Linked DNA regions of Drosophila melanogaster. The protein of the gene in region 2 interacts with the protein of the main gene of each other region in a pairwise test. Each region holds a gene or a part of one and is shown on either strand. Other genes may lie near its edges. The genes, in order: CG14071, CG17778, CG12589 and CG6398.

Region 1 (3,539 bases), on a different chromosome or scaffold from region 2:
AGGGCAAACTAGGTGCACGCATTCTAGCCCCCCCCCCCCCCATTTCCTTCATTTCCCAAGGACGAATATCCAAGCCTATCCTTCCGTTCGCAATTTTCAACTGACCACCTTGTGGCGCAAGCAAGAAGTGGAAGTTACTCAAGCTAAATTTTCCCGCAAGTGATTTGCATAACTGTAGGCAGATGCCAATGGCTGTTGCTCATCACATTGTTTGGCATTTTAAGGGGCGAGTTATAGAGAAATGTTCGGAGAAAACCCCATGAAATCCTTCAGTAAGCCGGCTTACTGACTGACTGAAGATAACCTAAAAGTGTGCAAAGCCTATTAAGCTGGCAAAGCCAAGAGCAAACGAATAAATGAAAAAATCCAAGTGGATAGAATTGTTTGTGAACTACTCGTAAAAATGTAACTTCCATAACTGAGTTGGAAATTGCTTAATTTGACGGGGCTGGTCCGAAAATCGAGTCTACCGAATATCATATACCGTGCAGGAGTTTAAAACGGAAAAGTCGAAGATGATCAGATATCAGATAGTAAAAATGGTAGCCATTTTTTAAATCATTGTGATATTGTTAACAATACTTTTAAGCAAAAAAACAAAGATATATTTATTAATATATATTTAATATGTATTTTCATTATTATAATTGGTACCAGTTTCGAATGCAAATTTGCATATTAATTATTAGTGTAGATGTAATTATAATTCATTGGTCTTGAATAAATACATGTGTAATATTTGTTTGCTAAATAAATGAAACAACATACCCCTCATACTACCTCACAATCAGAGCACAAAACTACGCACCATAAATCTTACGGCCAGTGGAAAGGGACTGGGAATTTGGGCAGGGCAAAAATTATTACATGCCTCATTTGGCAGCGCCTTGAAGAGTCTGCTTATTATATTTTGATTATTTTCGGCACGCGTGTTTCGCAGGACCTCAAAGCCAGGATCTCCGCGTCGAGAGCTGTAAACAAATTCGTGAAATACGCAGACTGGTCAAGGGGCGGATGTCGATTTGCAAGGACGAGGAGGATAAACAGGACAGCTGGGTTTTTTTTTTTTTTGTTTTTTGTTTCGGTTGCATAATTTTTCATTTTATTTTTGGACTCGTTTGGCCTGCTTTTGTCCATAATGAGATATCTCTATCCTCCTTTGTTTCTTTTCATCATTTTGTCCATTGTGTTTCGGTGCTTGTTGTTTTTGCATTTCGCGAAATGCCGCTGGGAAATTCTTGTAACCAACAAAAAAAAAGGAGCAAAAATCCACTGGGCTCAAATGGCAATGATGGCGTCGAGGTGGTCTTATTAATTAGGACACGCGCCCTGAGTTGTATATATTCCCAAATATTCTCCACTTCAAATATACACGTGAACCTCAAAAGGGACCGCTGTTATTGTTATTTAAATGCATGGCAAGATTCTCTTTCAGAAAGCTTCCCTTGATTGCCAAATTTTGATTAGCATATAAATGCAGAAGGGACAAAAAGAAACTATATCTTTGTGCCGTTAACTCGTGGAAAATTTTAAACTTCAACACATTCTTGTCCACTAAAAAGAGATAGTACGAAAAATAACTATTTGAATGATAGTTTACAATGCTTCTGCTATCATCTACTCGTAATGCATTTCGGCTTAAACAATTTTTGAATGTAATGATCTATTTCCTTTTTTAACTACAGTCTTTTTGTTTTTTCTCGAGTATTCAGTGGACGCCAGCAACACATATTTACCAATCATAAGTAGGTAGCTAGAAACTGTTCGGATTTAAGGAACAAATTTATTGCTAAGTTAAATCAAATACTGCTCCACGTAGAAAACCACAAACTCCTTTCAACGGCGTAACTACACTGTGCAGCAATGTCCAGATCGGCAAAGGGCTTTGGTCGTTTAATCAATCCGGGCGTGGTACTCCATCCGGAACTGCATCAAAAGATGGCCGACTTTGAGGCCATGACCATCGAGCGATCTGATTTGGATCACGAATTGAGCCGATTGCGCAAGCAGCAGGACGATACCGAGGATAATTTGGCAGAGGCGCTGGCCGAGGACGAGTTCCAGTGCAATTTGAGTGGCCAGCCATTCGTTGCTCCCAACGAGGACGAGCTGCAGGAAATTCTGAGGAATCACCTCGGTAGCATTATCAACAAGCTGGCTGCCACGTACGAGCGCCTTATTTACCTGGATGCGGACATCAGGAAGCTGAAGGGAGTCATTGAAAAGGCCATCACAGTGGCTAATGAGGAATCGGCAGCAGCCGCCTCAATGTGAAGATATGTATTTAACCATTACATACGTTGTACTTCTACATATGTGTATCTTGAAAATTTCAGTTCGATTTAATGTGCAAGTAAAGTTTGCAAGTATGTTAAATGATTCGAAATTGCAAGGGCTATGTAAACATGTATTTGTATTCTCCAGCTTTGCCATATGTACCCGTGTGCCGTCGATAATCAGTAAAATATGTGTTACTTTTGGATAATGAAGTCCACGTTCGATGCAACGCGAAATCCATTCACACATTCCGCTGGACATCTTAAATCATTTTGGGTGAAATTAAAGCCGCAACAATCTCATTTCCGGTAATTCTTTATGCACTCGCGCACAGACAATCCAATGCGAGCCAGAAGACACTGCAAATTTAATTGCGTATACGCAATGTTGCCACTGCCGTCGCGGAAACAGCATCCGCTGCGGCAGCAGCTACACTCTGCTGACTCTATCGTTAAGTGCATAAATTCAATAATGCCGAGCGTCTGGCGGTGTCAACGCGCTGCAAATATATAGACTCGCCGGATCGATAAAGCTGAAGCTTGAAAATTTATGGAATTTCCTGTGCATTGAAAATGGTCGCCATTTACTGAATATATTTAAGTAAACTACAGCTCAAAACAAAAATGCATATGTTATATATTGACTTTACATAAAACCCCAAAATGTTTAGAAACATAAGAAATTAATTCTACTTGGATAAAGTTAAACTTAAACAATTCTATACCAAACTGTAACTTTAATTGCCAAGGGGACCACAAAATGGTCTGCGCTTACATGTATAAGGATGCAATTGCATATTTGTTGTTACTTTGCTTTGGTTAAACATTAATAGTCGGAGAATTGAGAAGGAAGTCGAGGTATATTTGAAGAAAGCCAGACTTATGGGCCCTGTCCTGTACTCTAATTAATTAAATTGAAGCGTTCGACGACGAGGTAACAATTTCAATTTTATTCCCGTGCCAGCCAGACTGGTCAAACAAGCCAAATGCAAATTTCCCAACCAGACATGGGTCTTAACAAGAACATTTGCATGAAGTCAATCATCTCGACCATTCTGGCCAGTGAACCGAAAATAAGACACTTTGGGTCTGTACCGCTGTGACTCTGATTGCCTTTCATCCCAGTCAATTGGAAAATTCGCACTAACAAAGCATTTGTGAAGGTTCGAAAAATGTCGGATGTATTTCATATTTTTACTTAATTTTGATTCCTGTTTGTTAAAAGCACATTTTAAAACTCCCTCGTTGCGCTAATCGCTTTCC
Region 2 (4,230 bases):
GAGCGCTCGCAGTTTCTGTACACGTAGGCAGGCAGCAATGCGATGATTAAGACACAAAACGCAGGCGCGCCACTTTCAACAGAAAGTGGATGCTGAATGAATGAACTATTTTCCCCAGAACCACTTTCTTGAACTTTCTTAGTGCCAATTTTTAAACTTGTGCCACAAATGTGGGCACGCCACGCACACAAACGTAAAAAAACACCGACACACCGATGCAAAGATCTACGCACACCCAGATGCGCGCACAATAGAGCTGCAGTTATTGCACTTTCTTTTCGTACACTTTTTTCGCAATGATCTTCTCGCCAGCCTAGGATGAATCAGCGTATATTCGCTTCTTAAACAACTGCCATGATACATACATTTTATTCGCAACACGGAGAATATAAATAAAATCGCAAATGAAGTCACGAAAGTACGCGAACGCAGCAGCGACCACTGTTGCCACTCGGCTGCGATCAGATGACATTGCCAGATGCGACTTAGAGGAGTTGCCAGAAGGTTGTTGTTGACAACCGGATGGCGCCAGATTTAAATATATGCGTTCCTCGTCTCCCGAGGTTTAACTAACTTTTATTTTCTCTAGAGCTCAACAAATAAATCTCCAAAAATGAAACTAACACAAGAATAACCATTGTGTGTGGCCTAAATATGTACGGTCTGTTATATATTATCTTTTAAAACGTGTCGTATCAAAAACTACCTCAAAATACTATTATGTTAAGGCAAAATTTGGAAAAGTGCATTCAGACATTCCGGTTCGTCCTAAAGAACGCATATCATCGTAAATGTTGTTTACTCTGTGTTAAGCATTGTGTTTTTGTGTTCTTAGAGCAGTGAGTTTTCGTTATTCCTGCCTATCACTGGAATAAAACACCAAAAAAAAACCTTAATTCGCATACAATGGGTGTGGTTTTCTTAATGTGTATACATGTATATAAAGTATAGGATTTTTTTCCGAGTCTAAATGCTTGGAGTGGGCTTGCGATATATAGTTACACAGTTGATTGCTTCAGATTGGTGCCAATTTAGTCCCTACATTTGCGTCCCCATTGACACATTTACCGCACCTATTCGCCAGGGAGGCCAATCAATAGGGTCATTGATTATTCATGAATACCAACCCCTGCTCCATCGAGCCCTTTCTCGGGCTTTTTGCGACCCTTCTGGGAGCTAGCTATCCGCTGTTTTAGAGTGTGAAAAGTCTGCTGCATGCTGCGCATTTGGTACCGTATGGAGCTGCTGACGTCACGCTGCAACTGCTGCACCTCGCGAATGTCCTTGCGCAGATTCTGGTACTCGTTGGTCACCTCGCTCATCGACTCGAGCAACTCGAGGACCTCCATCTCGTCCATCTGCTCCATCGTCGTCTGTTCGAGGCTGCGCTCCACCGCGTGCAGTTTGTGGGCCATCGTGTACAGCTGCGATCCTGCATTGGCCACCTTGAAGCAGAGGGAAATGTAGGTTACCTATGGATTAAGTAATTGAATTTTGGCCGCTTCCGTTCTCTCTTCAGCTTAGGGAAGCATTGAAAAGATATTCCCAGGAGAACTTATGATCAAATCCTGATAACAACATCTTAAATTAAGTTCGATAAACTTGGATTAACAGTCTACATTTAGGTACTTTGGACAAAGATCTTAAATACTCATATTTCGGCACCAACTGACAATGTGGCTTATGATTGTAATAGACCGCCATGGAGTGTCCCTAATTTCTCTCACTACACTCTGAGTGCCTATACTTCTGAATGAATAAGTGGCTATTTCTGTTTGCCTGGTCGATAAGCTCACCGATTTTTCCAGAGCGCTGATGTCCTGGTAGCCCGGCGTGGCCTCCATCTTTTCCAGATCCCAAGCTGCCTCTCGACCTCAGCCTCTTGGCATGACAGTAAGTAGTAAGTCAGCGCAGCAAGTCCATACTGCGGCAAATAACAAAATTGTTTTTGCCTAACTTAAGGCGCGTCGTCCGGAGCGCTGACAGTCCAGTCCAAGCTCTCCGAGCAGAGTGAGCGAGTCCTGCGATTGGTCCCACTATTTATATGCTCCTGCACACAAGTTGACTTCCGCATTCCGCAGCAAGAGAGGGAGCGAGAGAAAGAGCGAGTGGCAGTGCTGGTACTTCTTTAGCTTGCTTAAAAACAACGTATAAAAATATGCTATATTTAATCGAATTCTTTTTAGTATATGCTTACACTTTTCGAAGCCAATGGATTTTTTGTAAACGTTATGGATTTCAAATGACAGAACTTTTTTTTTGTAATTCCTTGATTCAACTACCGGTGGGCATCACTGAAGAGCAGAAAGGAGCTACTATTGTCCCATTGAGAGACAAAGCAAACCACTTTCTTTAAAAAAGAGAAAGCCTTTCATTTGTGTTGCATCTATTTCCATGGATTTTGTTTTCCCGGTGCAGGCTAGTCCTTTTGATTATGTTGACCAGGAAGCGGGGCTGCTAGCAAAAGCTTACCCTGCCCGATGATGAAAGCGAACTTGCTATTTTAATAGACCAAAAGCCTAAAAGCAGGCAGACAAATTTTCATTCAGAAAGTGAAAAATGCGCCAGCCTGCTTCTGTCCACACTGCGTTCCAGGAAACATTTTTAGGATTTATCTGTTCAGCTAGGAAGCACTTATCACCTAATTGATTATTTTTTCCATCCTCGGTTAAGCACTAGTATTAATATTTGATTACATTTCGTTTAAGTTCATATGTACATGTGTCCATACGTACATATGTACATATGTACATACGTTGATGGAAAAACACAAATATACTACATTGGATCCGCCGGTGTTTATAAATACCCTAAGCCAGTTCAGCATGTCTAGCATCGAAGATCCAATACACTTCCACTGTTGTACACTTAAAAAGTTGTTACAATCTAACTGGAACACATAAACTGGCTTGATTACCATAAAATTGATTAACCATAGAGTATGCATTTGGGTACTACAATACTACACTGCCGTCACCATAGCTAACATTCCCTTCCAGCAGGGAATTGACAAGAACGCAAACACCGCAAAGCAAGCACTACACTCACACACACATACTCACAACGAGCCCCCAAAAAACAGCAACAGCAACAATTGCGAAAACAGAGCAACACAAAAACAACAGCTGTGCCCCCGGTTCCTAACGGTGTGTGCGGTAGCAAGTTACATACATATGTGCGTGTACACGTGTGTGTGAGCATCAAACTATAACCACTTGCTAATGTAAAGCACTTTTTGACGTGGTCTTCGCCTTCGCCTTCGTATATCAACAATCGCCACACCATGCCAATACCACACCACACCACCATACATTACCTCAAACCTATACAGATATATGTACATATATATTTCCATTCATGTATATGTGTAGAGAACAGTGGAGAATAACTGGCATCAGAAATGGGCGGCTGCGCTGCGTTCAGTTTCAGTGTAGCCACCGTTCGGAGAGCACGCGATCCGATCCCCGCACCAAATTCTCATCTCCGTATCCCCAAGATGTCCCTAGTGCGATTGATCGGAGCAGAGGTGAGTTTCCAATTGGTGGGTGGGTGTATGTCCTATAGGCATGCTAGGCTGCCATCCTCACCCTGACATACATACATACGTGCATCCATCCATCAGCATTTGGATCGTTTTGGCGCTCTCTCTCGTTCTCTCTGACACTGGTGTGGCCGTGAATTCGGTAATTGGCGATGCGATTGGCCTTGGGCATGTAATGTATGCACTTTCGGCGCCCATCTCACACTCCACCCACTCTAGTGATTGGAATGGCCCACGGGTGTGAGCGGCGAACGGGCAGTTGAAAACAACACATGTTACGCAATACGTCGCTGCGAAGCGGAAGAAGTAGAACTAGAACCAGAATATTAAGCAGATAAAGCGCACAAGGCGAATTCGCGGGGAATTTAGCGGTACAATGTTTGAGTTGACGTTAAATCCAATAAAACGCGATAAGCGGTACCTTTCCACGACAGGCGCGCCATGAAAATCTCGAATTTGCCAGATGGACACTGATAAGCGTGGGCGGCTGCCCCCCGCGCGCCTACCACTCAAGTTATCAACACCCAAAAAAATAGACCTCACCCCACATTAAACGGATTTGTCCGGCCGTTGAGGTTAGGATTGCGAGCACTGGGCAATTTGCAAAGCAAATGAAAGGTGGACTAAATGGTAAATTTTTGGTTTAGTATACGTGGAAGTGGGAAAATAAAGTACGCTTAGCGATCGGA
Region 3 (4,038 bases), on a different chromosome or scaffold from region 2:
GCCTTCCTGTTCGGCTGGGACTGTCATCAGGCTGTCATCAGGTTGGATAATTGAAAGGACTCGTGGAAGTGCCGTGTAAAACTTCTTAATACTCTTAATAAGCCAAGCCTTTGCAGTAATTAAATATTTGTTAAAATACTAGTGTGTAACGAATCAAAACTATATGATTTCACTTTTCGATTATTCCTGTGGCTGCTTGTGATATTATGGTCCAACTTAGCCTTATTTACCACCAGCAGCAAAAATAGAAGTTGTGGGAAAGATTCATGCCATATGAACATGACTCTATCGACTAGGATATTATTACTGATCAAGAATATGTACTTTATAGTAAAATATATATGGTCGGCAAAGTCTTTTTCACTGCGTATTAAACTTATGTCTGAAATCAATATAATATATACGGTATAATATTTATACAAAAGAAAGACTGGACATAACCATCGTTTACTTTGCAAACTTTATGAAACTATTTCTCAGTAATTTTCGTTCTTAATTTAACATTAATGAGGCTTTTATGATTAAGCTTTCTAAAACCACTATATTTAATACGAAGTTGAGAACATCATTACATCATCTTTCACCAAGATAGTTCGCTTGTACTTTTACACTTTCGTCACCTGAATTCCGAGCTCCATCGTCCATCGATTCCCCTACAGTGCCCAGTGGCGTCCGTGTTTCACCTGCAAGCTCAGCAGGAGTCGCTGTAACCGCTCCTTTCCCTCGTATAAGCTTCTTTGCTTGTCCAGCCGAAGGGTCACCAGGCGGCGCTGTAGGTGAGTCAGCTGCTCCCGGATCCACACGTGGTTCGCCTGCAGGCGCAGCACCATCGCTACCAAATTCTCAGGCTGACCCACTTTCTCCAATTCTCCGTGCTCATCCATGTCCTCGCCGAAGTCCAGTTCCATATCTATGCCTGCGACGGCTGTGGAATGCGCGTCCATTGTGCAACTGATGTGTGCTACACAGCAATGGTAAATTGTTATATTGGTAATGAATATACATACATATGTCAATTGAACAAAATATTTTTGAAAAATTTTAAACACATGTTGGAAGTAGAGCCAAGCAAATACATACTATGTCCTATTCTATATAGTTGTGGGAGTCCCAGTTTTTTTCAGTGTGCGTATCTGCTGGCGACAGAAGCGGAAACTTGGAATAATTTAAGCGTGCCAACTGGGTGGCAAACTTCCATCTAATCGCTTAATTCCGAGTTGCAAGAACTTTGGGCCCAGAATCCAGCATTCCATGCCGGAAACCTATACGCAAAAGATTTCCGCAGCGAGTGAGTGCAACTTTTTCTAGTTGATTGACTTGGAAATTGAACATTTGCTCCGTGTTTGGTTAAGATGTCTTGTATTTTTTGCCCAGCTAATGCCCTCGATTGGTTGTGAGCAATGCGCAGTGGTGCGTTCGTAAAATTTTCAAATCGTTTGGCCTAGTGGAAAGCACGAAAGGCTGGAAAGGCGGGAAAGCGGCAGCTACTTGAGGTGGCTCAGACCGAAATTGCTTTTCCGCACCCTGGCTCGACCGAGCAGAAAAATGCCAGCCCTGCTGACGCTGCCCCCGGAGTTCGATTTCGCACTATCGATTCATTTGGTATTCATTGGCCTCGCTCGCTCTCCACAGCTTAAAGCGCTACATGTCGCCGCAACTTAGTGCCTTTGTTTCCTTTGTGCGAGTACGAGTTGCATTGCACCCGGCCGACCCAGTTGCATCGTTTGGGGTTCCTTTTCGGGCGGCGCAGCGCCGTCTGAATCGTAAATTGGCAGCACGTTCCACACGGAAAAAAATATTCGGATGTCAGGCATTCACTTTACGGATGACCGAAAATTTGGCGGATGACCGGAAATTAAAGTAAAGTTCGAAAGAAATCTAAATGATATCCTAAGATATTTGACGGTATTTGAGCACTTTGGAAAAATGGTCTAAAATCATGAATGCATTTCGCCAAGTGCGCACTGCATAGCATAGCAATTTGCTGCGACTCCACTACGACTGTGATGCTAATGATCAAGCATCTCGTCGAGAGACAAGGCCAACGGCTCTTGTCAAAAGAATGTGAACTGGGCGGAATGGTGGTGGAAATTGCAGCAGTTTTCACTTTTCCTTTGCCCGGCGACATCTTATGCACAGAAAACGCCTTAGTTGCGGTGTTGTGGCCGCCAGCCGTGCGTATGCGTAATATTCGAGGAATGTTTCGCATTTCCTTCTAACCGAAAAGTTTGACAAGCTGTCTATTTGCTGGGGAGTGTGCGTGTGGGCAGGCTGGCTGTTTGTTTTCTATTTGTGGTGCAGGCACTTGAGGCTATTTCTGGATAATACGCATGCGACATGTTGCCAAGGCGAGGATAAAGCCCAATTTTAAGGCCGTCCGAGCTTTGCGGAATAGCACTGATGATGATTGCAAATACGGAGTGGCTCATCTCTCACCTTTGACTTTAAACAATTTGCCAAACAACGTTTTAAATAAATTTTAAAAATCGATAATGGATAACTACTGCCTCTGTTAAATTAAGATTAATTATAAAATTTACTTATTGTCATACTTTTTTAAGACAGATTGTAAATAAAAAGAGAAAAAAAAAATAAAAAAAAAATCGAGCACAACAAAATCCACGCCTGCTGCTTTCATCCTGACAGGCTAATTGAAAATCTATGAACCTAAGTTTAAGCCTGCAACCCTTTCCATTGCCAGTTGCATCTCTATCTTGGCTTTTTCTGGATGTCTGTTGATATTCAGCCTGCCGGGATTGGCAACTTAATTATTTCAGCGGCACGTCGCCGGCAACTGGCGCTTAAGCCAGCCACCCGACGGTTGCAAAAGCGAAAAACGGGCGGCACAATGAAAAGGAATAAGAAAAGCTGTGATATAAACAGCGCTTTCAGAATGCAACGTCAGTGAAGGGGAAGAAGAACAACAGCTGCTTCTGGGAATCCGCGCCGAAGGATAAAGTTGCCAGCCAAAGGATTTTACTACACATCTGGCTAAAGAAACGGCACGAGAAAAACTCAGCGAACGATTGTATATCATTGTATATCTGTGCATATCTGTGTGTGTCCGGCTCCCCATTAGCACCAAACGACTTCTGCCACGCCCACTTACTTCCGGCCCACCGCATAGTGCTATGCCACAGCAAAAGTCGAAAAAAGCCCCACTTGCGGCTTTATTCATGGACTTGATTCATTAAGAGACATTCACATGCGAGCATTCCCATTTACAAACAAACAGTGGAACTTCCATTAAAATCTATTTTAAATTTAGGAAAGCCATGTTTTTATGTGTGTCGTTTCACGGAATGAAGGCACTGAATATTTAAGTTCTGTAGAATTGTTTTAAGATTTATAAGAAAAAAGGCTTTATAATCGGATTCATGTTTTTAGCTTACGAATACAGGACAAATAATTCATAATTCTGAAATGAATCTCTCTCAAAGATCAACAATTTATTAGGTAAATAGATTTCCAGAACACACCTACTCATAGTTGCCGAGTATTTTATATTTCTCGCGTAATATCTGCGCTTCCCCCCTTTCCAATGACTTTGGAAACTTTGACAGGGCAAAAGTAATTAATTTTCGGCAGCTAACTCAAAAAGACAACCAGCGAACGGCAAAAAGCTGAAAAGGTTAAAAAAAAGGCAACACAGGCGGCACAATTAACGCCTGCAACTTTAATTGCGTTTTAATGTGAATCAGGCCGCAGAAAAGCTGCCTGTTTGGATGCTTTCACGATGGCTCGATGGGCGGAGGGTGGCTGGTGGTGGGTGGCGGATGGCTAAGTGCACGGCTCGAACCAAGCGGAGTGGGTGGTTCAACGTGCTCTGTCAACCGCAGGCGGGGGCTCAAAAGCGTAACAAGCATTGGCCGCGCCTCAGCAACATGTCCGTCGTCCTGCACCCACACACACACACACACACACTCGTACTCGCACTCACACACTCACACTCGCAAAGGAGCGGAGACAAACGCACACGTGAATTCGTCCTGTGACTATGGGCTCTGCAGTCCGGACTACGGGACTATGGGACTATGG
Region 4 (5,031 bases), about 17 Mb from region 2:
GCAGCCTGCAGGCTAAGAAAAGGAAGAATTAAACTCTAAACAGTATGCAATCTAATGTACATATACCAACAAGACATACAATTAAAGATAATATAAGATATAGGGGTATTTAAAGGAAAGTAACAACACAGAGCTTCCTTTTCCACCATAATAGTTTCCATTTGACTTCTTTCGAAGAAAACATCTGTAATTAGCTAAAGAAAGGTTGGAAGTGATGATATTCTGACACCATCATCATGATTCCCTCGACTGACTCCCCCGGATTCCCATTCTTTGAGTAGCGCTCATAATCGCTGTGGGTATTTAGTTCTCCACTCCCCTGGGGATGCACTTCATAGGACCCTAGGGTTTCCTGTGGCCAAGTAGCCCATCTCGAGTTACCTGCTGCACCTGAGCGGTTCTTCAAAGGCTCTTACAGGGGCGGAAATCGAAGGAGAACGGAGATATGGAGATGGAGGAGATGGAGGTGGAGGAGGAGGAGGAACAAGAAACGTGGATGGGGAGAAGGGAGCGATGACCCAAAATGGGGGAGGTCAAGGCAGACGATTGCTTCTAATGGCTTTATAAGTGCCCAGGCTCTGAAGACTTCGACGCTGGGCGAGATTCGAACGAATCTCACCGCAATTATCGTTCCCTCGATTCCATTGAAACTTTCGGATTAGGCGACAAAGTCGAAAAACGTGCAAATATTTTCAGCACACTTTGAGTGCTTTTCTTCCTCTTCTTCAGCTTTGTTTTTTATTGTTTTTTTTTTTGTTTAGCTAACTTGTTTTGGTATGATTGGTATGCGCACGCACACCGCCGCGATTTTACACCTATTTCTATAGAGCTCTCCGCATCTAAAATTCTCTCGGCTGCACCTACAAGACGGAGTTGGATTTTCTACAGTGCCACTTCATTAAGACAAACTGCTGCTTATTTGAAAGAAATTAAAACACACATATGCTGCGATTGCTTTCGGCCCTTTAAGAGGCGGATTATAACTGAGATTTCAGTTAGCTAGTTGTATTTCATAAATAGTGAAGTAACCAACATAAAATTGAAAATTAGATTACTTGGAAGAATGGGAAGTGTTGTAATCCGCAGTTTGACTGTATTTGCAATGCAAACTGTAAAATTGTGTACTCCTTCCACTTCACCGCCCCTTTCTTCTTTTTCTGCGGCCTCTTCTGCCTGGGCTCTTCTTCGTTTTTTCGCTTGGCTAAGCGCTCGCGTAGAAAGTTTGAACGTTAACGGCCGTTGCCCATCCTCCACAGGCCCCTCTCGATCAACACCGCACCACTCCCTCCCTTCTTCCCTACCCACCTCCTTCCAATGCCAGTTGTTCGTGTATTTGCTTTCGACCTTTCTTCTTCTCCGCCTTGCCCTTTTTCTTTTTCTTTCGGCCAAGCACAAAACGAGCGACTGTTACTGTTACCTCCGTTTGTTGCTGTTGCCTTCGTGGTTGCCTCTCCGCTCCTCTCCTCCCTTTTCACCTACTCCTCCTCCTGCTTCTTTTTTCTCGCCCTCCTACTCCGCACAGTGGGCCGCGCACACCTGTATGCAGTGCACAAATGTCAGCAAGTGCATCTTAATTACATATCTTGTTTATCTAAGCATCGCTATAGATAAGATTCTCGGAAGAGGACGGATTTTAAAAGATATGCAAAGATGTTTGTAGAACTAAATGTCTCCTACTATTATTAGTAAAATATAATACACATTATTCTCTGGACATAGTCGAACGGGCTTAATTCCTTGGAAATTATGGAGATATTCGTTCCGGTTTTAATATTAATTAAGTATGAAAACTTTAATCCTTATCGTATTTATTTACTATGCTTCCAATGGCATTTGTGAAATGAAGCCACTTATTTTCAAAATATATTTAATAATATAATATAGTACTCTGCTATACTTTCCAGAAGACGAAGTCCTAAACTCTAGCAAGTTATTTTCAACAACTAATATCTATTGTATAAGTAGGGCCTAAATTAGGATATTTTCAATTTCCCTACCCATTTTAAATATTTCCATTGTATCGTACCATTATATCGTTGTCTTGCACGACTTTGAACCCGATCTTTTCCGATTTCTTAAGCTATTGCCTAATCCCAGCCTGGATCTACTTTAGCCACATCTCTGGGACCAATGTGCAGAGCTCGTAAGCGGAGCTAAAGCTCCGTCTTAAGCGGGAGAGTCTTCGGCTTTGGTTGTAACTCTGTCTCTGGCTGTGGCTTCTGCCACGCAGTCGCAGATGCACCGTATATTTCGGTGGCGCTGGCTCTGGCCTTAGCTGATTATGTATTCCAAGCGGATGGGCCTTGGGTTAATTCGATTCGTAGCCCCCACCTTCTCTGGCACTGAAGACTAAAGACACTGTAGACTGCAGATTGAAGACTCACCTGTATCTGGTTGCGCCAGACATCGTAGTGCAGCCAATTATCCGTGGAGAAGGCGATCGCCAGCAGGGCGGTGGCGATGATCGCGCAGATCGTCGCTATAGATAGGGTTACGGCCGAGCAGGGCATGCTGGTGTTTTATTCCGGATCTGTTTCGAAATCTCAGCTATTTTGGGGCTATGATACGGGATTTATCCAACGAAAATCCCCGAGAAGAAAACAACAACTACAGTTGCTATTATTTTTCTTTCGTTTCGTGATCTCTAGCGTCTTCGACGTCTTCTTCTTCCGCAGCTAGATTCTGCCGCTTCTTCTTGAACTGCTACTGCTGCTGCACAAATACACAGTTAAAAGAGCAGCAACCAGTTTGGAAGGCACAGCAAAAAAAAAGCCAACGTTCGTTAAAAAAAATAATAATTTTAGCAACGGGCCAGCACTAACACACTGACACGGGCTCCACTGCACACGCTCACAACACTACACACACACACACGCACGCCGGCGAAGAATCTGAGCTGGAGAATTGAGAACGGAGAACTGAGAATCTGAATCTGGGCAGCAAAGAGACGGAGAACTGATAGCCAAGACGTTGTGATCGCAACAACGTTCGCCAGCGGACTGAAAATCGTCGGCGACTGAGCCAGACTTCAGGTAATACCAAATACCCATATACCATACCCATACCCATACCCATAGTCTCAAGTCGCAGTCGGCGTCTCAGTCGGCGTTTCATTTGAGCGCTTTGCAATGCAACCGGACTGAGGGGGGAGGAGAGTTAGGAGCAGGAGGCAAGGAGACGGTGCCTCTTCTACCTGCTGGATAAAGCAAAAACAAGAAAGGAGAGACTGTTTCGGCAAACGAACCATGGAATACCCTCACAGAATGCTTATATCTCTGCCAATTTGAGGCGAACTTGATATGATCTTTCATAAGCTCATTATACATTTATGTACGAAGTTTCAGATTTTCATATTCGATAACGTAAGATTTGTGTTAATTGTGACTTTATGTTAACGCATCTACAAAACCCAACACTGGATAATCCAGATAACAAAACGCGATGATAGACAAGGCAAATCATGATATCCCGTAAACACATATGCCCAGTTGAGATTTGCAGAAATAACGTTAGATATATAAGAGCTAGTAACCTTTTGTTAGGGTATACGAAAGGCAAACAACAACAAAGCAGCAGCCTGTTGATCTTTTCGTATGTTTGTTTGGTATTTGGTATGCGGTGCTGCCTGTGCAATGGAGTCCCAGTCCCACTGGGCAGGAAGGTAGGACGCGAGGCACACAGCCACATGGGCGTAGGCGGTGGGCTGGAACTCGAAGGGGGCGTTCGAAGGGGTGTGCTGGTGCTCCCATATCTCGACCGTATCGCAGTTATGCCACGCCAGATCGTAACTCTGTCAAAACTGAGCCACATATTTTATTAGCAAGATATTGGAATCAGGCTCCTAAAAACAAATACCCATTACACTGAAGGATCATAATTGGAGTTTCTGCGGAATGTGAATATCATTATTTGACACGTCAATATCATTGCCTGCACACCCATTTAAACGGTTTTGTTTTTGAGCCTGAATAAACATGCATGAATTTGCCTATATCTAAAATGGTTCATTTGAAAATCGACTTGTAAGAACAATGCGTCCAGCTGATAGAGAGTCATTAACTTCTGGGGCGAGAATTTTTTGTATATTCAAATGCCTAATCTGAAATTCCGCCCACATGAGTGCGATTAGTTCGGCCTTTTCCACCGCCCGCTGCTAATCAGGGCGCAGCCGATTTCTCGCAGTGTGCAATTGACCCAAAGATGCTGCGACTGCGCAGGTAAAAAATATATACACACAGACATCTCGTGTACGGACATATCCATATAGAGATAGGTGTTTGTGTTTGTGCGGCATTGGCATCTCGCTGCGTCTACTTGCTGTTGTTGTTGTTGATTTTCATCGGCTTTAATGCCTTTGTCTATTTTGGGTTTCTGTTTATGGCGTGGGTTTTTCTCAATTGCATTTTTGGGCGCGCTCTCGACTGCAGCAGCAAAAGCACAGTGGCGGGCAGAGAGATAGCAGCGTTTAAGAAATTAAGAAATATGCATATAGAAAATCGCCTAAAAACTGAAAGAATTTAATACCCTAAAGAGGTGCTGTTTGATTCATTTTTAAATGTATAAATTGGATACGCTTTGCTATTATTTTGTCCTATTTTTCATCTTTAACGTGATACACATTGATTATATTAGTTCTAGACCATGAAATTCCCAAATTTTAAAGACGTACGCTTTAAATGTACCATGTTAATTAGTTATTCTCTGGCAAAATGTAACAAAATTGGAAACTACCATATTGACGGGCATTGTAAGTGTCGTATGTGTGAGTGTGGAAATACCAGAATTACCTAAATAACAACAAGAATAGCCGTGCACTTATAAAGCAATGTTTGTAATCGGATCGCATTGGCATGTTGGCCAGTTGAGTTCAGTTCTCAATTGCTGGCCAAAAGTTTTTGGCCCCTCGAGTGTCTGACTGTCAGTCAGTCTGTCTCTTTCTGCGCCCCATTACCCCTCTCCCTCTCTCTCTCACACTGCTCATATAATTCGTTTTCTTTTTGCATTCCGATGGAATTCCACAACGTCGCAGTT

The links.
Region 1: the proteins of CG17778 (region 2) and CG14071 interact in a two-hybrid assay, tested with the Drosophila melanogaster proteins (one large-scale study listed by BioGRID).
Region 3: the proteins of CG17778 (region 2) and CG12589 interact in a two-hybrid assay, tested with the Drosophila melanogaster proteins (one large-scale study listed by BioGRID).
Region 4: the proteins of CG17778 (region 2) and CG6398 interact in a two-hybrid assay, tested with the Drosophila melanogaster proteins (one large-scale study listed by BioGRID).

The regions. Positions count from the first base shown.
Region 1 is NT_033779.5:10,887,103-10,890,641, reverse strand, and holds CG14071 (uncharacterized protein), read left to right. Parts: upstream 1-1,714; 5' UTR 1,715-1,863; coding exon 1,864-2,274; 3' UTR 2,275-2,366; exon of another isoform or gene 2,367-2,373; intron 2,374-2,424; 3' UTR 2,425-2,997; downstream 2,998-3,539.
Region 2 is NC_004354.4:492,684-496,913, reverse strand, and holds CG17778 (uncharacterized protein), read right to left. Parts: upstream 2,301-4,230; 5' UTR 2,198-2,300; intron 2,137-2,197; 5' UTR 1,845-2,136; coding exon 1,797-1,844; intron 1,446-1,796; coding exon 1,110-1,445; 3' UTR 545-1,109; downstream 1-544. Other genes in the region: CG17896 (uncharacterized protein), read left to right, coding at 3,497-3,526.
Region 3 is NT_033777.3:5,136,534-5,140,571, forward strand, and holds CG12589 (uncharacterized protein), read right to left. Parts: upstream 2,457-4,038; 5' UTR 1,081-2,456; intron 1,041-1,080; exon of another isoform or gene 962-1,040; 5' UTR 945-961; coding exon 654-944; 3' UTR 524-653; downstream 1-523.
Region 4 is NC_004354.4:17,828,800-17,833,830, reverse strand, and holds the start of CG6398 (uncharacterized protein), read right to left. Parts: upstream 3,004-5,031; 5' UTR 2,511-3,003; coding exon 2,385-2,510; intron 1-2,384.